3 linked regions of the Oryctolagus cuniculus genome follow. The protein of the gene in region 2 binds, or shares a complex with, the protein of the main gene of each other region. Links are inferred from orthologs where the notes say so. Each region holds a gene or a part of one and is shown on either strand. Other genes may lie near its edges.

Region 1 (4,304 bases), on a different chromosome or scaffold from region 2:
TCGGTGACCGGCTTGGCGCTGCGGCACGGCCCGTCCGTCACGTGGCGGGTGAAGTGCAGCTCACGGCAGCTGTACTCCGACACGTCTGCGGAGAGAGGCGCGCGTGAGGGTGGGGCCTGGGCCGGCTGGCGCCCCACGCCCCGTGCCCCGAGCCCCATCCCATCTCTAACACACCTGGGCCTCCTGCCCCTGTGCACCTGTTACAGGAAGGCCCCCCTACTCCTGCAGGTTAGGGGATCAACCCAGGGCCACCCTCTGCCCTTGTGGCCGAGTGGCAGCTAGGGTTAAAGTGCAAGGGCCCCATCCCTTAACACCTGTGTGACCTCGGACAAATTACTTAACCTCTCACTTCTCCCAGTCTGCAAAATGGGTTGTCTGGAGTCTCCAGCGAGCCAGTCCTTCGTGCACAATTGCACAGCTGGGTTCACAGGAGGGGTGGGAGCTGCGGGCTGTGGGGCCTTGTTTTTATTCTTCGGGGGTGGGGGGCATCTGCTGAGTTTAACCACACCTGTGCACGAGGGGCCCTGGCCTGCACCGGGGCGGTACCAGCCACACCTGCATGGGTCTGGCTTTTCCCGAATTCCTTTCCCAGCCACTTGGCAGGGGCGGGCAGGAGAAGGAGAAAGGGGGAGAGAGGTCGATTGCAGGCCGTAAATCAGAGCGGCTGCAGGAGAGGAGCAGCATGGGCGGGAGGCGGCAGGGGAGGAATTCATTAGACTTGAAAGGAGCCGAAGGTGCGCGTCCAACCCCCTCATTATCAGACGGGACGCTGAAGCCAGGAGAGGGGAAAGGACCTGCCCAAAAGGCAGTTCGGCTCGCCCAGCACCACCTCCCACCGCCCACACCTTCTGCCTGCAGCTTGGGTGAAAGGGGTCTGCTGGGGGGGCCCGCGGGAGGCGGGGCTGGGCCCCCGGGGGCACAGGACTGCTTTTTACCACAGTTACTTCCTGCCAGAGGGGCACTGGGCTCTGATTCCATAGCGTCAGCTGCCACCAGCATTTATTAAGCACCTACTATGTACCAGGCTCCTGGCTAAGCACGTCTGCTGCTCTGTGGCACTCAAGTGGGCACCTGATGGCGACACAAGCCTGCTCGCTGGATGTGGCTCGGCCCCCTGCACACACTGACTGTGCCTCTTTCAGTGGGCTTAGGCAGGTGGGGGCTTTCTAAACAGCTGGTCCACCCCAACAGCTTTCACTGGACAGTTCCCCGGTGACACAGAGGCATGAGAACCAGCGCAGCAGGGCCGTGGCTGGCTGCCTGGTTTCGGGGCTGGCATCCTCCACCTGCAGCAGTGCTGGGTGGGGCGGCCTGTTGCCCAGGGAAGGAGGCTTTTCCAAGAATAGTGCCCCCCCCAGCACTTCCTCTGCAGAGCCGGATGGTGGGCTGTGGCCTCTCACGAGAGCCTGGGGAAGTGGACATGTTATATTCGGGTCCCCTGCAGCCTTGTAAGTGGGAGCCCCTTGAGCTCAGGGGCTGGGGAGGAGTGCTCCTGCCGCCCACCCTCTGTTGTGAAACCCAGGGTCGCTGCTGGCCCCCAGGGGCCTGCCCTTCCCCGGGGCCCACTTCCAGCAGCTGGGTGGGAGGCTGGCAGGGGTGGCACACAGGAGCCCTGCAGCGGCCCCACTGCCACCCAGGGATAAGAGAGGCTGGGTCTGGGGTGGGGGCTCCGCACTGGCAGTGCCACCTGTGTCCACTCCGTGCACAGAGGCTGCTGCCTTCCCTGTCTCCGCCCCCGCCAGGGCCTGGACTCAGCTGCCACCCATGCCAGAGGCTGAAGCTGTGCCTACACCCCCACTTCGTTCAAGGCCAGCTGGCCGGGTAGACGGTGGGCAGTAGGAGCTGAAGGGGCCTCTCTGGCTTCCTTCTCCCACTGCCGTGCGAGGGTCTCGGGTTCTAACACCCCTCCCCTCCTGCACACGCCTGGCGGCCTTGCAGTTGAATGGCCCTGAGCTCAGATCTCAGCTCCGCTGCTTATAACCAAGGAGCTCCATCTCAGGAGCCTCCGTAGCTTTCACTTGGATCTGGGGGTTGCCCTGCACGTGCTGGGTCTGCGGTCACAGTGCAGCGACAGCCTGCCTAGAGCATTCGGTGCTCAGCACGTGCCACTCCAGATGTGCGGGGCCCTTGCCTTGTCCCCAGTCCTGGCTCCTGCCTTGTCCCCAGTCCTGGCTCCTGTGCTTTCAGGAGAGGTTTCTTTGAACCCTTTTCTATCCTGTGCCTTGGAGCCTGCTGCCTTGCTGCACCCTCACCGCCTCAGCCCCTCCTGGTCCAGTGCCCCTGAACTTGAAGGCTAAGGTTGCACTGGCTCACCACCCCTCCCTACCTCCAGGAGTGCCTGTCCCTGCATCGGTGAGCCCCAGCCTTCACAGCCTACCGAAGAGAAGATTCTAAAACATCCCCCCTTCCTCCCCAGGACCCTTGGGCTAACGGCTCTCCCCTCCCCCATACCTTTGGTCTCGAAGGGGTGGTGGGGAGGCCTCCCTCCATTCTCCGCCCGGTTCATGGTCTTGTTCTCCAGCTCCGGGGGAGGCGCGGGGTACCGCCCGAGCTCAGGGATAACTTCCGTGGCGTCATTCTTGAAGGCCTGCCACCCTTGGCCCTCTACCATGTGGACGGCTGCATGCACCAGCAGGCAGAGGAGACACAGGGCTAGGGAGAGCTGCATGGTGCCAGCCACGGGAGGGCACCTGCCTTCTAGGAGCACAGGCTTGGCTCCCCAGCCCAGACTCGGTCCCCTTTTTAAAGCCCCCTCTGCCTCGTGCCAGCCAATGAGGACAGGCTGGGGCAGGGCTGGCTCCATGTCTCTGGGGGAGGGAAGGGGTGTGCTCAGAGCAAGCCCTCCCCAAAGATTTCTCCTGGAGCTCAGCAAACTTCCAACTTGCTGCTGGCACTCCCAGGTGATCGGAGGGAGGGGCGTGTGAGGCAGGGCCCACGCCTGCTCCCCAGGCACCTCCCCCGGCAGGCAGGCGGCTGTGGCTTTCCCATATCAGCAGGAGCTCACAGCTCCGGCTGCTGGGTGTCTACCTCCCTCAGGCATTTGCATGGTACCCGCGGAGCCGCCTAAGCCTAACCAAGGAAACGAGTAGCTCAGAGTTCTCCACGGGCCTGAGCTCGCTGGTGCAGCTGCCCGGGCAGAGGCCACCCTCACCTCCCCATCGGACAGCCCCACAGGCTCAGCCAGGGGCAGGAGCAGGCTTTTCAAGAAACCCCATTTTGGTCCCAAAGCCATGAGGCTCAGCATGGATCATCTTGACCAAGAAAACCTCCCTGGAAGTCAAGAGAGAAGAGAGCCGCAGGGCCCCAGCTCGGTGACCGCTGGGGCGCAAGGGCAGGATGCTGGCGACATGTGGAGTTGTGCAGGTCCCGCAGAGCACTGGCTGCAGCTCCCGGGCTGGTGCGCTGAGGGTGGTCCCTTCCCTGGCCACACTGTGGCCTTCTTAGCCAAAGCCGAGGCGCATGTGTTCAGTACTGACCTTTTTTCCCCGTCTGCCAGCCTGCTACCTTTGCAGAAGCAACTTGGAGTCCTCTCTGGGAGACCCCAGTGGTGCCTACCCTGGGATGCATTCCCCAAAGCCATTGCAGCCCAGTCCAAGCAGCCAAGAGAAACCCAGGGGGTCGCACTCTCAGCTCCCCCCACCCCAGGAGATCAGGCCTCTGGGGAGGGGGAGGGGCCGGGGAGGAAGGTTCACACCCGAGGTGCCAGAAAAGAAAGGGCCAGGGCAAGCTTTCCCTGGGGACAGTGCGGTGTGGGAGGCAGGAGGCGCTGGGCTCCTGCCCGGAGGGAGGGAGGCTGGGAAGAGGGCTGTGGCCCGGATCCCCTTGGTATTTTCACTGGGCAATGAATCAGCCCGCTCCACCTGCACAGCCTCTTGGAGGCCGCTGCCACCTGCCTCAACTTGTACGTTGCTATGTCCATCTGCGGCCGACTGTCCCCCGCCTTTCCGTCATCCATCACTTGACACATGGATGCAGCTGCCCTGACAGTTTTACAAGCCAGACAGAAGCCCCCGCAGGAAGGGCCCTCTCTGATACCTGCTTCCTAAGTCGGTTTCCTTCGGGCAGACGAAAACAGCTGTGGCCATTGTTGGGGGTGATCTATCTCTCCCAGCAGAGCCAGCAGGGTTGTGAGAAGCGGCGCCCCCTCCCCTTGTCTGTGACCCTCCAGCCTCCTTCCCCTGGCTCTGGAATGTGGACTGTTAACCCTGCTGTGGCCGGACCACGGCCCTCTCACCCTGAACTTTGTAGAGAGCCACTGCCCTGCCAGGGTTCTTGGAGTTGGCAGGACAGATGCTTAGAGCCCC
Region 2 (3,445 bases):
GTTATTGCTAACCTTTCCATCTTCATTTAAACATCAAGTGTTCCCATGTGTCACAGAATGCAAGTTTAGTGTCCAATCTTAGACTGGGAGCACTTTGTTCCATTAACAGTAAGAGTTAATGCTGATGGATGACCATTTAGTCATATGCAAAATCAGTGCACCTGATCATTCTCATAAGCTGTCCACAACAATCTGAGCATTATTCTGAAACCATATTTTTTTCTTTAAGAAGTTTATTTAGATATTTTTTGAGTGGCTTGAAACATTACTTCATCCCTGCCAAAAATTCTGAATCCTTTCTTTTGTTATTTTCTCTTGCAAGTCAGAGAGGCCCTGACAAGACAGTATTAAAAACAAAAACCAAAGTCATTTCATAACTAACTGACCAGCACCTGTTTAGGTCAAAGTACATCAGTTTGAAAACACATTCAGTTTTAGCAGAGAAGTGCCAGACATGTGTTAAAAGCAAGAGACTAACTTCTGGCAAGGAGGCAGAGCAGGCTAGAATTGCTGCATGGGTCATCCCTGGAAGCTTAAGATGTGGCAGCCCCAGTACTGTACATGACAGCAGGTCAGGCAGACGGAGTGAGACTTCCATATTCCCCTGCTCCCAAGTTCTGACAGCTGAGACGTTAATAGTTGGCCTTCTTATTTACTCCCCAGATGATTGTTAAATTACTTAGTTCATAATGGAATAAGACGGAACACACATAAAAACATAATGATTATAAGAATAATTTGTGGATAATTTGAAAACAACCTTACATTCACAGTGGATAACAGGAAGATATTAAACTCATGTCACACATCAGAAGAGGTACATATGTAGACATCATTCTGAGAAAAAATTGGCCTAAAGAGCACGAAAATGGCACAAACAGTTAATATAGGGAAAACCCTAATGACAAAAAATTTTATTTTTAAATAGATTGTCTCTAACCAGAACATATTTAAATGTTTTACTCAAAAAAACATATAAAAGTGATTTCATATTGTGATATTATATGATGAAAGTACTGCAAGGATATATGATTAATTTACAACAAAAACATAATGGTTAAATTTGCAATTCTTAAACACTGTCTATATGTTGTAAGGAGACATTTTAATGAATGTTAAAATGACCTTGAAGTAAAGAAAAGAAATAATATGTCTAATCTTTGATCATTATGCAAAAACATCAGTCAATGAAGAGCTAAACCTAGTGGGGAATGGAGCTAGTAGAAATATTAAAATCAAACTTTGATTTAGACAATTCCATTTCTTTAATTGCTGGAATACATCATGGTATTTTGGCAAAAATGGCCTACAAAGTTGCTGGGGGAGGCAGCCGAGTGAAAGCACGACTTTGTGGGGGAGGAGCAGGCTCCATGGCAGGGACAGAAGACCTGCACACACGTGGCCCTGCAGCATCTGCCCAGACAGCTGGTCTCACCTCACAACAGCAACACCAGAAGGGATTTTGCAAATATCTATTTCCTCACAAAAATTCAGTTGGATTCCGAGAGAAAACAAAGCCCTTTGTCCAAGGTTAGTATCCCCCCGCCCCCCTTCATGATGTCTTCACTTGTTGGCCCTCGAATGTTAGTTAACATGAAGGCTATTTGGCTTCTTCCAAGTATCTATGGTTTGCTGCTCTGAGATGGACTTAATTGTCGTCGTCATCTTTTTTTTTCATTTTTGGTATCAATAAAGCCCAGACATTCCTGGTCAGAGATGCCTTTATTATTCCTGTTTCCTTTGTACTCAGTCACTTCACTGGGTTTAAGGCATGCTTTGTGTATTTAGTTTGCAAAAATAAAATTTTTAGTACAAATTTATTTTTTATACAAACTTTTATGGCACAAGCAGCAAATCTGCTGTTTTAAGAAAATATATAAATATCCTTTTCTTCTGTACAAATATCTCCAGTATCCCCTAGCCCATTTTATAATTTTAACTGTACAAGGTCTGCCTCAGCCTTCTCTAACAGCCCCCTCCCCCCCAGATCTCAACCACACTGTATTTACATGTTTGCGGTGGAGGCAGTCAGAGGAGGAGGGCCCCTCCTCAGGAGGAGTCCGTGCAGGGCGAGGGCGGCGGCGGGTAGAGGTGATGCGAGTAGCTCCTCTCTGTGTACGGGGAAGGAGGGCAGCTTTCATAGTTCTCCTCTGCCGACAAGTATTGGCTTCGAGGTGTGGGAGGTGGGGGCACAGGTTCTGAGTCATAGTTTAAGTCACTGGTATAGCCCTTGGCTGTTGCCACTGAGGTCATTCTCCGGCTAGGAGCATAGTCACTGTCACAGACATCTGTGCTGCAGGGTGTGGTGGGAGGTGCAAAGTGCCGGTAACTATATGGCCTGTAGCTGGGACGGGAAGGAAATAAAGAGAAGCAGAGTTAGTTTCACAGCAAAATGATTTTCCTCATCAGAATTCAGAGACATCAGAGGTAAACTTCACTTCGAAAACAACACGCTACTGCAATTTAAATTTGCGCAGATCCAGAGGCAATTTCCAATGGGAGACTGGACGAAGGAGACAGCACACATCTTCATATTTGGCAAATAAATGTCATTAGCGGCAAGTGCAATGGACAAGATGGAGAAGCAGAGGTGAACTCGATCCAGTCTCTGGATGTGCTCCTGTCTCTTCAAGTTAAACTGTACCACAGAATGGAAGCTATACAACGGTCACCTCTGGAAAACCTTTGTATACCTTTTGCATTTACTTAATGGAGTAGACCTTACCAATTTCTGCAGTTTTATGGCCCATGAGAAGGATAGGTCTTCGTGTGTTTTATACTACCCAAACATGTTAACATTCTCTCAACGTTCTGATGCATGAAGACTTTGTTTCTTTAAAACCCAAACACCATACAACCCAGGCTGAGTTTTTACGGACAGCTATGAGCCACACCTACCCCATTACACTGTTGCTGCTAGCAAGAGGACACCGCTGTGGTCTGAGGGGAACAGTTTTGATTCCTTGCACATAGATAAATATACAGTCAAAAGGGCAGCTTTAACTGAACATCAAAATGAGTAATTTTATGTACCCATTTAAGGTCAGTGAATTTTCCAATATATTTCAGAAAAGCCTAACTTACTTCTTATACTTATCTTTTCAACTAATCTACAGTTGTTAAGTTCATAGCATAGCTAACTCAAGAAAAATGAATTGGAAAGAGAGCAGCATACCAGTGAAAGTAAGACTTGATCTTAGTGCTGCCTCTGCTCTCATTCTTACTTCTATTTGCAACTTCTCCTATCTCTTTTTTCTAAATATGGAAAATCTTATTTCATATTTATCCCCAAGATTTATTCATAAGCTTTCTCATCAAAATGGCTGCAAGAGAAGGGGCAAGAACAAGTATACAGCTGATAAAAACAATGCACGAAGTGTCTGGTGAGACAAAGCACCACAGATAATATCCCTGGACACAAACCATCTGACATCACCTGGGCTTT
Region 3 (3,990 bases), on a different chromosome or scaffold from region 2:
TGTGAAATTTTATTTCAAAGACTATCACAGCCTAGTAGGAAATAAAAATCTAATCATTGAGATGGTACATTTTGAAAAATAAGCTCATATTTTCATGGTAAATTTTAGGTGCCTATCATTTCTACCAAGAGTTCTTTGCCTTTTCAGACTCTAGAATTAAAAGGGAAAGGGGCTATACACTTAAGAACTGGAACCATAAACTGAAATTATTTATTTCAATTCAATATAGAATATTTATCAGAGTCAAGGTAACAATGTATACAAACATTTACATAACAAGAGAAACAATAGACAATGTAGCACTTTTAGAAAAATAATTAAGAAGTTTCATTTCATTTACAGCTAAGTGCCACACTGAGAATTTACAACACAGTAATTTACTGCAATCACAGGGGAGTTCCATCAAGAAACAAAGCTCTTACACTCCAGATTTTCGGAAGGTATTATTGGAATGCTTAATGGTAATCATTGAATTTGTACATCCTTAGGACTGAGCTGAGAAAAGTCATAAGAGGTTTCCCTAGTATATATTATAGGAGTCCACCGCATGTCCACGACTGGTCTAGTGTCTCTGACAGGTGTGAAGCCGGGAAGAGTTACTGGCTTCATGTTGATCGTTCTGCAGCCGACAAGACAGCCCGTCTCCACAGTAACAGCGCTGGAAAATCTCCAGCCCATGCGAGCCCTTCCTCCTGTGCTTGGTGCACACTTGACCTTCCTTGAGGACGGGCTTACAGATCTTGGACCAGAAGTGCCTGGCGCAACACAGCCCCGTGGCGCAGTCTGATGAGCGAAGGCAGACGGAACCTTCCTGCCCTGCGAAGGAGGAGACAGCAGGAAAACCCGTCACTGCCAAGCCATCATCATTCCAGGGAGACAACTACAAAAACAGCTTAGGCATGCCCACGAATCAGGGCACCTTCCGCCTACCTTTGGCGTGATACATTTTCGAAGACAGGGTGGTTCTGCGGGAATACCCATCCGAGGTGCTGTGGTCGTTCCCGAAGCTTTCGACGATGGTTTCCTCGATTTCCCCTCGATGAAAATGATTGTGATCAGAAGGCATGCATATTCCTAAGGAAGCAGGTAACAGTGATTAACTCCCAGGCGGTAATGCTTTTTTTGCCAACAGCTGTGACAGAAGCACTCTGCGGTGACTGATGCACGTGAGGTACCTCTCAGGTGCAGGGGCATTATTTTAAGCACAAGGCAACTTTCCTCCCTAGTGTCCCTGCGGAACTCCCCAGCGGACAGCAGCATCCACGTGTGCACGGCTGCCTCCCGGGCATCAGTCCCGGTAGAGCCATTGAAAATACTCTCCCACAAACTGTGGGAGGGGCAGTGAGGTTTCTGCCCATTTTACTGTCCCCCTTGGAGTAAGGAAAAAGAAATCGTCATTGTTCTTCAACACAACTTCTCTGCTGCGACTTGGGGCTCTATGAGTCCTGCCAGACTGCGTCAAGCAAATGCAATTCCAGCTGCCCGGAGGATGCTGGTCTCACCAGTTCCCCGACGATGTCATTTCTCTATCACAGAGACTTAAGTTCGTCCCGGGGTCCAGCTGGGTCCCGAGAAGGGTCGCCACCCCGGAGGCTTTAACTTTTAGTGGCTCGGTGTGGGGAGGGAGGGAAGGGAAGTGCTTATTTTAAGGTCGCGAGGGTGGAAGGAAGAGTGAGGGGCCGAGAACCCCACGGGTGAGGGTATCAAGATCTCCCTGAAAAACGGCCAGCGCAGGTAAGTCACCAGACATCAGTTTCAAAAGGAGGAGCCCTGAGAGTCACCGTGAGAAAAAGGGACCAGGGCAGTGAAAGTCAGGGCTGGTCCCCCGGGTATTTCTCAGGGACCCCCTCCTCGCCCTCTCCTCTCCAGTCTCAACTGGCCCCCCAGGGGCACAGAGGAAAAAGCCAGGAGAACTGCAGAGTTCTGTCTACTGCTCCCAGGGAAGAGATCTGCAGCCAACTCCGCCTCCCGCTCGCAGGTGGCGGGCGCCCCAGCGCTCGCAGAGCCAGAGCCGGGAGCCAGCCGCCGGACTCACCGTTTTTGCAGTAATTCCCGGGGCAGCACATCGCGTGACGCATGCAGCGTTTTCGACGCTTCCTGCAAGCCAGACAGATTTGCACGCCGGCGCCCCCTCCGCGGGCGGGACTCGCGCAGTACTCATCCGTGCCACACTCCTCGTCCTCTGTGCACGGGTACGGCTGCGGGGAGCCGGCGGGGAGACGGTGAGGAGCCAGGCACCCGAACGCTCGTCAGGGTCACCTGGCTGAACCCCTCTCCAAAAGCCCTTGCAGCTCTGGGCTGCCGGTTCTCACCCTCAACCAGACACGCCCAGCACCCTCAACCTCCACCCTCGCCGGCAAATGGGTCCCCCCGCCCTGGAAGGCCGCAGCGTGGCAGCATCCCCCGAGACCCCGCTCACCTGATAGTTGTCAAGGGGCAAGTACTTGTTCCCGCCCTCGTACAGAATCCCGGGCGTGGCGCTGACTGCAGAGCCCGGGTGCCCGTTAGCGCCGCCCAGCGGCGGGGGCAGGTTCTTGATGGCGTTGGAATTGACCAGCACCGAGTTCAAGGTGGCGCTCACTCCCAGCAGAGGGTGGCTGCTAAGAGCCGCCGCTACCAGGGCGACCAGGACCCGCGGGGCGGCCACTGCGCCCAGAACCGTCATTTCAGAAGGACTCGGTGGGAGAAAGAAGGAAAAAGAGGAGGCACGTCCCTTCGCAGGCCCGGTCCCGAAGGAAGCCGTGCTGGCGCGGCTGCGGGGTCAGGGTCTCCGCGTCCCGACTGCCAGCCGCAGGCAGCACTGAACCGCCGCCGCCACCGCGGCTGCCTTTATACAGCGGGCTCGGAGCGTTCCGGCCCCTCCGGGGGTGGGGGGAGAGGATGACAAAGCCGGGATGGGATTTCAAAGAGTTGGGAGGGGCTGGCAGGGGGTGTGTTTGTGTACAAGAAGCGGGGCCTTTGACTCTCGTCACCCCGCCCCAACCTCGCGAGGTGTTCCCTCCGCCCAGCTAGCTTCGGGCTGACGCGTCTCGGACAGCTTGGGGCAGTGGACCGGAGGACTCGCTGGAGGCGGGAGGGACCCTGAGACCCTGGGTGCACTGGCCTGGCAGCAGGGCGCGGGCGAGACGGACCTGCAACAGGCTGCAGAGCCTCACGGTCAGCACTCGCTGCAGATCCGCTCTTCGCTCCTGGCCGGTCTTCCACCACCGGCCCTGGTTTGTCGTACAAGCAAAATCACATTCAGTGTTAGATGCAGCCTGAAAAGATTAACGCAAAGGCTCCAGCCGACCGTCCCTGCCGGAGGTGTACCAGGTGGCCGTTTGCAAGTTGCTCATGAGCCCTCCTGGAGTCGCGGTTTTGCAGGCGTGGGTGAGGTCCTAGGCTTGAGGTTCATCCAGTTGTAACCCCTATACACACACACACACACACACACACACACACACACCGCCTCCCGGCCCGGCCACAGCGGCAAAAAAAAAAAAAAAAAAAAAAAGAAGTGCAAAGAGAAGGGAATTTGCACATCAAACGCGGGTCAACAAGGAAGAAGAACTAATTCTCTTTTGATGGGAAGTTTAGAGAGGGAGGCGAGAGACTGGAGTTTGGAAATTAGATCAGGGGTGGTAGAGGGAAGAGGGAAATGGCCATCTGATAATCTAACTATTTAATCTTGGAATCTGAGATGACCTTGATGAGGCAGACGTGCGAGATCAAAGTGGCCCCGAGCCAGAGCGGACAGGGTCCCACGTGCTGGGTCAGCCTTCTTTCCCTGGGTCCGCTTCTCAGCGGTGGGTTAATGCAGGGGATAAGATCCCCCAAGGCTGAGCGCCTGACTTCCTCATTAGTGGTTCCCATCGCCCAGGCTTCGGAACGCCGGTGTTTGATCGCAAGTCTGTGCCTCCCCGCGACGGTGGGAGATAAGAGACTACCTTGGGGCCAGGGAGGATGGCAAGTGAGCCAGAAAGTAAATCAGACTCGTGTAAGATTTTGTAA

What was found. Proteins that work in one complex are often made in the same cells at the same time.
Region 1: the proteins of LRP6 (region 2) and SOST are in contact, whole or in part, in a crystal structure (PDB 6L6R), measured with the Homo sapiens proteins. The link is inferred for Oryctolagus cuniculus from reciprocal best matches to the Homo sapiens genes LRP6 and SOST. Residues at the interface, in NP_001401174.1 of Homo sapiens: Arg28, Asp52, Val70, Ser71, Glu73, Leu95, Ser96, Asp98, Glu115, Arg141, Trp157, Trp183, Asn185, Ala201, His226, Phe228, Trp242, Met269, Arg336, His361, Asp379, His404, Asp406, Thr422, Glu447, Arg449, Trp465, Trp491, Asn493, His534; in NP_079513.1 of Homo sapiens: Leu115, Pro116, Asn117, Ala118, Ile119, Gly120, Arg121, Arg169, Thr171, Arg172, His174, Asn175, Gln176, Ser177.
Region 3: the proteins of LRP6 (region 2) and DKK1 are in contact, whole or in part, in a crystal structure (PDB 3S8V), measured with the Homo sapiens proteins. The link is inferred for Oryctolagus cuniculus from reciprocal best matches to the Homo sapiens genes LRP6 and DKK1. Residues at the interface, in NP_001401174.1 of Homo sapiens: Arg639, Glu663, Ser665, Ile681, Tyr706, Glu708, Thr724, Arg751, Trp767, Gly768, Gly769, Pro771, Val790, Gly791, Arg792, Asp811, Thr812, Asn813, Leu814, Pro833, His834, Phe836, Trp850, Ser851, Tyr875, Met877, Arg1184; in NP_036374.1 of Homo sapiens: Glu185, His204, Phe205, Trp206, Ile209, Gln218, Val219, Thr221, Arg224, Arg225, Ser228, Gly230, Leu231, Glu232, Ile233, Phe234, Arg236, Ser258, Leu260.

Annotation. Positions count from the first base shown.
Region 1 is NC_091448.1:19,384,030-19,388,333, reverse strand, and holds the start of SOST (sclerostin), read right to left. Parts: upstream 2,807-4,304; 5' UTR 2,804-2,806; coding exon 2,452-2,803; intron 86-2,451; coding exon 1-85. UniProt on the Homo sapiens protein: Negative regulator of bone growth that acts through inhibition of Wnt signaling and bone formation.
Region 2 is NC_091440.1:109,750,613-109,754,057, forward strand, and holds part of LRP6 (low-density lipoprotein receptor-related protein 6), read right to left. Parts: intron 2,345-3,445; coding exon 2,050-2,344; 3' UTR 1-2,049. UniProt on the Homo sapiens protein: Component of the Wnt-Fzd-LRP5-LRP6 complex that triggers beta-catenin signaling through inducing aggregation of receptor-ligand complexes into ribosome-sized signalosomes.
Region 3 is NC_091446.1:45,399,183-45,403,172, reverse strand, and holds DKK1 (dickkopf-related protein 1 precursor), read right to left. Parts: upstream 2,807-3,990; 5' UTR 2,666-2,806; coding exon 2,420-2,665; intron 2,199-2,419; coding exon 2,036-2,198; intron 1,075-2,035; coding exon 931-1,074; intron 817-930; coding exon 563-816; 3' UTR 183-562; downstream 1-182. UniProt on the Homo sapiens protein: Antagonizes canonical Wnt signaling by inhibiting LRP5/6 interaction with Wnt and by forming a ternary complex with the transmembrane protein KREMEN that promotes internalization of LRP5/6.